Linked DNA regions of Arabidopsis thaliana. The protein of the gene in region 1 interacts with the protein of each later gene in a pairwise test. Each region holds a gene or a part of one and is shown on either strand. Other genes may lie near its edges.

Region 1 (4,907 bases):
CAAAATTACTTTTGTGAACACATGCATATGAAAACCATAAAAGAAAGAACTCATGCATATGAGAAATAATTATTGTTGTCATTCTCTACAAGATCATAATTAGAAAAGAGATTGTAATCAAATTAAGTAGATTTTTGAAAGTATATGCTCGTCGTCACATGACGTAAATCATAGTAAGTATTACATGATCAGAAAGTAAATTTCATAGACATGGTAGAAGTAAATGTCATACACATTTAACTGAGATAGATAGTGTTTTTTTTTTTAATAACAAGAATGGCTTATGAGCTTTTGGACTTTCCACGCGCACGATCTGCCGTCCAGTGGTTGACTCAACCTAACCAATTATTACTTAATATAGTTAATCCAAATAACTCAGTATCATTCTTTCTCCCTTATTTTAAAAACATTAATATGATGCAGAAACTGTCACGTTCAACAACCAGGTCTCTGATTCTCCCATTTCACATCCCTTTCTCTCTCTCTTTCATTCTCATGAACTCTTTATTTTCTGCTACACAGTTATTTTATCCATGGAACTTGACAACTTAAGCAACCAAAGACTTCGCGATTCTTATTTTAATATAAAATAACTACTAAGTTGTCAAGGGCGTTAGAGGAAGAGCTTTTGTGTTCTTAGTTTCGTAAATTAGATGGTTAATTTTTAAATGTTTCATCAAAAACACAATATCAAAAGAAAATAATAATAAATTTAAACAATATATGTAGATTAAAACTTCAAATCACAAAATAGATGGGAAAAAACCGGCCGGTTTTTGGGTCACTACAAGTTGGCGTTTTTCAAAGTATAGGCTTGATTTGTCATTTGTTTCTAATTTCGCATCAACTTGACCTAAAAGTGAATTACGCTTAATGTCGAAATATTCCATTCCTTAGTTTATTTCGGTTTTGATATAATAATTACAACTAAAAATTAGGATAATCCAAGTATTGTCATAATACACAAACTGACAAACGCAATAATTTTCTCTCGTAAGTCGTCGTACCTCTTTAATCCGTTATTGATTGGTTCAAGGTTAGATTTTTACATGATTTAATCATCGAATAGACGAGAAATATGTCTAGCCGTCTAGGTCCATAGAGTATGCATCATTTTGTAATCTATTTTAATCACATTAGCACATAAATCTAGTCAGTGCATATTCGAAAAAAAACACAGCTGACAACAAATATAGAAATTGAAAAAAAATGTAAAAGTAGAAAGAGACAATGTACATAAATCTATATCTTTGTGTTTGTGTTGTATAGGTATTCAGTATTCTAGTTAGATAATTTCTCTTTAGAAGTCGTATAGCATATGGATATGCTTCTATCTAAATATAATATATTTGAAATTTGTAAGGATTTTGGATAAGTTTTGATTTTTTTTTCTAGTCAGCGGGTGAGTGGGAAAATATCATTCTTTCTACTCAGACCCAATAGTTTCTCGATTGTTTGTTACTTTGTAAAGTAAAAAATGCTTAATACTTTAATGCGTTGTATAATTATGCAGAATTTTAGTTTAAGCTATAAATTATAATACACTTATAGCTAATCAATATATAGGAATATTCTTACTATATGTAGAATATTGGAGAATTTTTTTTTTTACTATTAAAATAAAAATAAGTCTTGCTTATATCATGGCAGGTTGAACTATATGGGGACCTAACTACATGTCATTAGGGGAAAAACATTCATATCATAGGTATCATATGACGTTATGATATGAAGTTTTTTTTAAGGTGGATCAACACTTGTGAATTGTATTTACTCGATACTCAACATCAAAACTCGCGATCTCAACGGATTGGCGCAATTAGAAAGCAGTTTATGGGGTCTAACCGTAAGTTCAGTGTTCCCAAGAATTTGAATCATAGTTGTGTGCAAAAAAACTCATTAATATAAACTATACGTTCATGAGTTTTTAACACATCTACTATTTCATCGAGTGAGTTTGCAAAAAACACTTTTGCTAAGAAATCTGTTTATCTCTTATTACTCGGATGCTAACGAAACATGGAAGTCGATAAAATTATAATGAGCTAAGCTAAGAGCTCTTCCAATTTTGATCCTAAATATGCAGTGAATACGGCCACCACAATCATTTCTCATATGAACTAGTATATCAACCAACTATAATCTTGTTTTTAACTTAAAACGATGTATTTAACATATATAAGTGAAGCCATTAACAAGCAGAAATGCAGAATCATAAACGACAAACGACAAATATATATTAAACTTAATGTTCGATGACCAAGTTGCAGAGAGCCCACCATAATTAGCTGTCCATATCTAATGGTATCCCAGACTTGGTTATTTACAAATTAATTAGAAAGATGATTAACTAGTGTCATTATGTGTTGACATTTATTTATCCACTATCTCTCATGTTCTCTATATATACATTCCAACTCCTCTTCCTCATTCCCTCACTTCTCACAAGACTTCCAACTAACAATCTTCTTAATTAAGATTAATCTCTTAATTAAGACGCTTAGTTAACAAAACATATAAAAATGGAAGCCATGGGAGAATGGAGCAACAACCTCGGAGGAATGTACACTTATGCAACCGAGGAAGCCGATTTCATGAACCAGCTTCTCGCCTCTTATGATCATCCTGGCACCGGCTCATCCTCCGGCGCAGCAGCCAGTGGTGACCACCAAGGCTTGTATTGGAACCTTGGTTCTCATCACAACCACCTTAGCCTCGTGTCTGAAGCCGGTAGCTTCTGTTTCTCTCAAGAGAGCAGCAGCTACAGCGCTGGGAACAGCGGATATTACACCGTTGTTCCACCCACGGTTGAAGAGAACCAAAATGAGACAATGGACTTTGGGATGGAAGATGTGACCATCAATACAAACTCATACCTTGTTGGTGAGGAGACAAGTGAGTGTGACGTTGAGAAATACTCTTCTGGAAAGACTCTTATGCCTTTGGAAACCGTAGTGGAGAACCACGATGACGAGGAAAGCTTGTTGCAATCTGAGATCTCTGTGACTACTACAAAATCTCTCACCGGCTCCAAAAAGAGATCCCGTGCCACATCTACTGATGTAAGTCTTTAATTTTCGAACTGGTTGGCAATTAGCTAGAGAGATCACATTTGGTTTAGTGACTAATATAGAAACGGTTTGCCATGGACTCAGAAAAACAAGAGAGCAAGAGTGAATAAGAGGGCCCAGAAGAACGTAGAGATGAGTGGGGATAACAATGAAGGAGAAGAGGAAGAAGGAGAGACGAAGTTGAAGAAAAGAAAGAATGGGGCAATGATGAGTAGACAGAACTCAAGCACCACTTTCTGTACGGAGGAAGAATCAAACTGCGCTGATCAAGACGGTGGAGGAGAAGACTCATCCTCTAAGGAAGATGATCCCTCAAAGGCCCTCAACCTCAATGGTAAAACAAGAGCCAGTCGTGGTGCAGCCACCGATCCTCAAAGCCTCTATGCAAGGGTAAATTGCTTTGTTTGTTTCCCACAAAAAAGATAAAATATCAAATTTTTATGGAAGATTATGTTTCAAAAAATTAATTTGGTTTTTTATTATTTTTTTGTCGTGCAGAAAAGAAGAGAAAGGATTAACGAGAGACTAAGGATTTTACAAAATCTCGTCCCCAATGGAACAAAGGTAAAAAAAAAAACTCATGCAAACGTTTAAACATGCAGAAGATATGGCTCTTTTACATGCAAATTCATTAATTATACAAGAAATTGTTAATAAAGATTCTAAACATTTACAATTGCTTAAATACGTAACAGGTCGATATTAGTACAATGCTTGAGGAAGCAGTTCATTACGTCAAATTTTTGCAGCTCCAAATTAAGGTAAGCAAGGGTTTTAAATACAAATCGTTTTTTTTTTGTACGTTCAATTGTTATATGAATATGATCTAACTAATATTTTAAAATATAATTACGCAGTTATTGAGCTCTGATGATCTATGGATGTATGCGCCGATTGCTTTCAATGGGATGGACATTGGTCTCAGCTCACCGAGATGAAGCAGAAAACTTGTGATTTTAGTTGGATATTTTCTCTTATATATAACCAAAAATGTAATATTCTTTTTCTTTTTTAATATTCTCCGCCTTCGGACGAGTTCGATTATAAATTCTCGTACGATGTTCAAATATGAGAGAAATGGAGAGTCACGTTCGATTTTTTTTATACTTTCATTTTCTTTTATATCACATATTTACATTTCAATTCTTATGTTTCATCTGTTCAATCGATAGTTTTAATACTTATCAGGATCATAAGATCTATACCTTAAACAGTTTACACTCAATCTGATCACCGTTTTATTTAATGATCAAGGGACATATATGATTATTTTTAATCTGATCACCGTTCGAAGAATACCTAATGAATGGAGAGTTATTATTATAATATTAAAATAAAAAATAAAAAATGAAGAGGTCTGACAAACGAATGAAGAAAGGTCTGACAAAAGAGGTAATAGTTGAAAATGTGAATGTGCTAATAATAACTTAACAAAGTAACTTCTATTTAAGAAATGTGAATGTACATCATTTTGGTTGAAATGTGTGTGATATTTAATATTTAGGCGGAATTTGTTTTCATTTTTTTTAGGCTTAATTAAAATGGTAAGTTCATTCCAAAGAAAATCCTTTTTCACTAGGAGTAAAACCCTATTTTACAAAATTAGTTGTGATGCGAAAAACAAATGCTCATCAATTAATCAATGCACTCATTTGTGAAGGATGAAATATCAAATATGACCACTTAAAAACTTCGGCCGCAACATTTTCTTTCTCACACGTATATTCATGAATGAGACCAATTCATACTTTATGTTTAGTTTATAATTTTACAATGGAATATTCAGTACTAATTTTGCGTATATGATTTTCCACTGTCGGATTTATAAAAAAGTAT
Region 2 (4,907 bases), on another chromosome or scaffold:
TCAAACTTTGTTTGAATTATATTCTTTTGTTTTCATTCTGATATCGTTCTTTCTTTGTATGGTTTGCAAATTATTATTTTTCATGTGGCTTGTTGTAATGTTATGAAATAAAAATAGTTATATATTTTGCTGTTTGATTTATATTCACCGATTCTGATTGATGCTTATATATTACTTTGTTTCCATCGCTTCTAAATGTCAAATGATAATATTCTAAGATCATAGCAATTGAGATCACATGCTTAAACAACAAACAACGACATTTTTTTCACGAATCCAGTCTTACTATTAGAGGAATAACGAATCAAGAAAAGGTTGTTAAGAGAGAAAAAGAAAACAAATTCATTCTCATTCATCTTAATTGGGACCGGAAAGATTACATTGGAACCTCTTATATAGTAAGAGATACTCTAAAACTGAGATAAGTAAACACCACAAAACAAAATTAAGAGATTAGGGTGTGTTTGGGATTTGCACTGAGCTTGGAACATAAGAGCACACAAGTGGGTAACAAAACTTGTCTCTAGATTCGCCAAGATCCACTTTACTCAAGATTCCATTATTTCCAATGATGTAAGCAATATTGCGAGCGGGAAGGTGACATTTGTCTATTATCTCTTTATCAAGAACAACCGCGACCTTCTTCTCCTCGTCAACGAAGAAACTCCTACCGACATTAGGAAACCAAAAACCAGCGACTGGTTTCATATCAACAGCAAATAACAAGTTGCTCCACGACACTGCATTAGGCTCAATCTTATTAGTAATCCATATCTCGACGACGGATGCCCGGTGAAACAGCACCGCAAGCTGCTCTTCTCTAACACTAGCAAGCGTCACAGTATCTCCAAATACGGCTCGGAAAGGCAGAGGCAGACGCGGTTCAAATCTTGAAATCAAAGGATAGTAGAAAATCAGGGTGATCTAGTGATGGTAGACCATGAAATGGGATCTCTTCTAGGGCATACCAGTAAGTGTTTCCCTTTAGAGACACGCCACTGTGTTTGTACAAAATATACCAGTCTGGAGTGAAATCATCAATGACCTCCCATGAATTGGAGTATAAACTGTAAATCTGAAGCTCACGAATTCGGTCCCTACTGGTCTCCAAGTACTCATTCACGAATCTCAAGATTTTGTGATTCTTTTTCTCGTATCCGAGAGCGTACTTCACGCACTTGTGGTAGATAGAATTTCTAGGTAATTCGATATACCTTGTTTGTCCCAAATAAGGGTTCCAAACAACAACCCTAGAAGAGTCTTTGTCTCTGTCCTTGTTGATGCATAAGAATAAACCCTTGGCAGTGAAAGATTTTAGATATTTTGATTCCATCTGCATTGAGATTACCTATAGGATCTATAGACGGAGAGAGTAGATCTACGCTCATCAAGGAAACTCTATAGTCCATCATCATCACCACCTCAATTCCATTCCTCTGTTTCTTCTTTAAAAAGCTCTCACTTTTCGTTATAGTGTTCCACTTTTTGCAGGTCAATCGCAGTTTCCCCAGAGATTTCACCGGAACCCTAGAGAGCACCTCCTCCTCCATATCAATTGGAAGATCGAACATCTTCGAATCGAATCTCCCAAAATCTCTCTCTCTTTTCCGTGTCTATCAATCCATCTCTTCACGCCCTCTTTTAGTGATATAACTTATCTTTTTCAATTTGGGCTTTATGGTAATGGGTCAAGGCCCATTAAGGGGTCTCGTTTAGAACTCTTGATTAATGTCTGAAATAAGTTTTATACATTTCTTCATTTGGAGAGTCATTTCGCAGAGACGACGCATAGCTTCTTCACTTGTCAGCTCTCAACGTTTCTCACCTGAAATTTCACTTCTGCTTCGTCTTCTCGAGCCGGATCTCTAATTTGTAAAGCTCCCTCTCTCTTTCTTCTTGTTCTTCTTCGTCTCCTTCTACACTGATGGATCGTTATTTAGCTATTTAGGGTTTTGTGAGTTGCATTAACTAGAGTAACTCGCGAATTCTTCTCCTTTGCCTTGCGATTTGGGGAATTTTTTAGCTCCATCAGCCAATTTTACAATTTTGTATGTATCCGTGGATTTATCACATGAATTGTGGACCTCTGAGTTTTTTTTTTTTGTTAGGTTCTTCTCGCTTTAGTTTTGCTTTTAGGTACATAAATTTTCCTCCTTTATGATTTACTTGCTCTTGGGCTATTTTCTTTTATTTGTTTGGTATGGAGTATGGACTCTAGAGTTTAGTTTAGTTTTTTTTTTTGGGCACATTGGTTGGAATTAGTCTTGTTTTATTCTGAATTGTGTAATCAATATCTGCATGCTTGTGGTGATGCAGGGAATTCTTATGTGATGGTGTAATTTAAGTTAAGATGACGTCTTCTTCGCATAATATTGAGTTGGAAGCAGCTAAGTTTCTGCATAAACTTATTCAAGATTCTAAAGATGAACCTGCAAAGCTAGCAACTAAACTTTATGTGGTAATGTGGCTTCACCACTCAGTGTATGTTTTATTTTGTAATTTTGAGCTTTATTCCTGTGCTTTAACTTTGTTTATTCTTTCGATTACTCTAGATATTGCAGCACATGAAAACCAGTGGAAAGGAAAACACAATGCCCTATCAAGTCATATCTAGGTATTGTTTTCCTTATATATCGTCGCTGGTTATTTGTTAATGAATTACTGATTAGGTTGAGATGATATAATCTTCTTACGCTGTGAGGACGTGGGGGCTGCTTCTTACTGAATCAGTTGCTTTAGCCTTTATCTAACTCAAGACTTTAGAATCTAGTTATTCTGGGTCTTTCAGCGTCAAGCTGTTTCTCATGCTTTCAAAGATTTATCACTTTTGTTTTACTGATAAAGTCTTTCTAAAACTCCCAGGGCCATGGACACTGTAGTCAATCAACACGGTCTTGACATTGAAGCTTTGAAGTCCTCGTGTCTTCCTCATCCTGGTGGTACCCAAACGGAAGATTCTGGGTCTGCACATTTGGCTGGTATATCCTCTCTCCTTTGTTTCAGTTGAGTGTTTCAATTGTTTTTTTTATTTATTTATTTATTATCTTAAGCTTCTTGCATCAATGTGGAATACAGGGTCTTCCCAAGCGGTTGGAGTTAGCAATGAGGGTAAAGCAACTCTAGTTGAAAATGAGATGACAAAATACGATGCATTCACTTCTGGTAGGCAGCTTGGTGGATCAAACAGTGCGTCACAAACCTTTTACCAAGGGTCTGGAACTCAAAGTAACAGATCATTTGATCGTGAGAGTCCATCCAACTTGGATTCTACGTCTGGAATTTCTCAACCTCACAATCGTAGTGAGACAATGAATCAAAGAGATGTCAAGTCGAGTGGAAAGAGAAAGAGAGGTGAATCATCACTTTCATGGGACCAGAATATGGATAACTCTCAAATATTTGATAGCCACAAGATTGATGATCAAACTGGAGAAGTAAGCAAAATAGAAATGCCCGGTAATTCAGGTAGGGATATTTGCTTCAACATTGTTTCTTACAGAACAAAGCATATCCTTTTTAATCTAGAATATAAGAAGCACCCTACAATTGTTGCCATTAAACCTCAGGTGACATTAGGAATTTGCATGTTGGGTTGTCCTCAGATGCATTCACGACTCCACAGGTACATAACACTAAGTTTCCCGAATCCATCCAGATTATATACATATTGTGTACATAACATTAGGTTTATGAAATCATTTTGAGCCTCCCTGACTCTGCCAATTTCAAATATTTTGGGACTTTGTGCTACACGTATCTGATGCACAATAACTTCTTAAGAATGTATAAAGAGATATATGCTGGCACATGGTGGCTTATTCTCCGAAACATTTGTCTCTCCTTAGAAGTATTATTTTCTTATCTATTTTCGTTTTCTGTATTGGAAATATGAAAAAAATGCTTGCATTTCCCGTGGTGATTTTCTTTGTTTTTTAACCTAAAAAACTTAGATGCCACTAAATTCACTTTTTCAAAAACGTGATTTGATTAAAACTTTGCCTTCTATATGATGTATTGAATCTTACTTGCATATAGTCTGACTTAGGCTCTGCAAAATGTCCTTTCCTCTTTTATTTCATACCAAGATACCTCGTTGGAACTCATCCCCTCTATATGTGGGATCTTATTTTCTATGGCAGTGTGGCTGGCAGAGCAGTGAAGCCACAGCAATCAGGCCTGCAATTCATAAAGAACCTGGAAATAATGTTGCAGGAGAGGGATTCCTGCCTTCAGGTTCACCTTTTAGAGAGCAACAACTGAAGCAGCTCAGAGCCCAGTGCCTTGTGTTTCTAGCTCTTAGGTACCTTACAGTCTCCTAGCCTCTGTATACTCCTTTTGGTGCGGCAATTGTAACTCTAAAAATTTCTGGTTGATTTTCATCTCGTAGAAATGGTTTGGTACCGAAGAAACTTCACGTAGAGATTGCCCTTCGAAATACTTTCCGCGAAGAAGGTAATGTTGGTGCTCACTGAAGTTACTTTCGAATCCACTTTTTACATGCTTTCCCTTGGATCATAATTGGTCTTCATTACAGATGGTTTCCGCGGAGAATTGTTTGATCCGAAAGGGAGAACACATACGTCCAGTGATCTGGGTGGCATTCCTGACGTCTCTGCACTGTTGTCAAGAACAGACAATCCCACTGGAAGATTGGATGAAATGGACTTCTCATCCAAAGAAACTGAGAGATCAAGACTAGGGGAAAAAAGTTTCGCAAATACTGTATTTTCTGACGGGCAAAAGCTTCTAGCATCTAGAATTCCCAGCTCTCAAGCACAAACTCAGGTTGCTGTTAGTCATTCTCAACTAACGTTTTCTCCTGGTTTGACCAAAAACACACCATCAGAGATGGTGGGGTGGACTGGAGTAATCAAAACTAATGACCTCTCAACTTCTGCTGTTCAACT

The links. The genes of interacting proteins can lie anywhere in the genome.
Region 2: the proteins of RSL2 (region 1) and SYD interact in a two-hybrid assay, tested with the Arabidopsis thaliana proteins (one large-scale study listed by BioGRID).

Annotation. Positions count from the first base shown.
Region 1 is NC_003075.7:16,238,668-16,243,574, reverse strand, and holds RSL2 (ROOT HAIR DEFECTIVE 6-LIKE 2), read left to right. Parts: upstream 1-2,405; 5' UTR 2,406-2,522; coding exon 2,523-3,062; intron 3,063-3,155; coding exon 3,156-3,461; intron 3,462-3,569; coding exon 3,570-3,635; intron 3,636-3,766; coding exon 3,767-3,832; intron 3,833-3,928; coding exon 3,929-4,009; 3' UTR 4,010-4,212; downstream 4,213-4,907. UniProt on the Arabidopsis thaliana protein: Transcription factor involved in the regulation of root hair elongation. Does not seem to be a direct transcriptional target of RHD6 and RSL1. Involved in the regulation of root hair elongation in response to low phosphate.
Region 2 is NC_003071.7:12,054,421-12,059,327, forward strand, and holds the start of SYD (P-loop containing nucleoside triphosphate hydrolases superfamily protein), read left to right. Parts: upstream 1-2,350; coding exon 2,351-2,458; intron 2,459-2,552; coding exon 2,553-2,614; intron 2,615-2,862; coding exon 2,863-2,978; intron 2,979-3,075; coding exon 3,076-3,465; intron 3,466-3,566; coding exon 3,567-3,622; intron 3,623-4,139; coding exon 4,140-4,300; intron 4,301-4,387; coding exon 4,388-4,452; intron 4,453-4,534; coding exon 4,535-4,907. UniProt on the Arabidopsis thaliana protein: Catalytic component of the chromatin structure-remodeling complex (RSC), which is involved in transcription regulation and nucleosome positioning.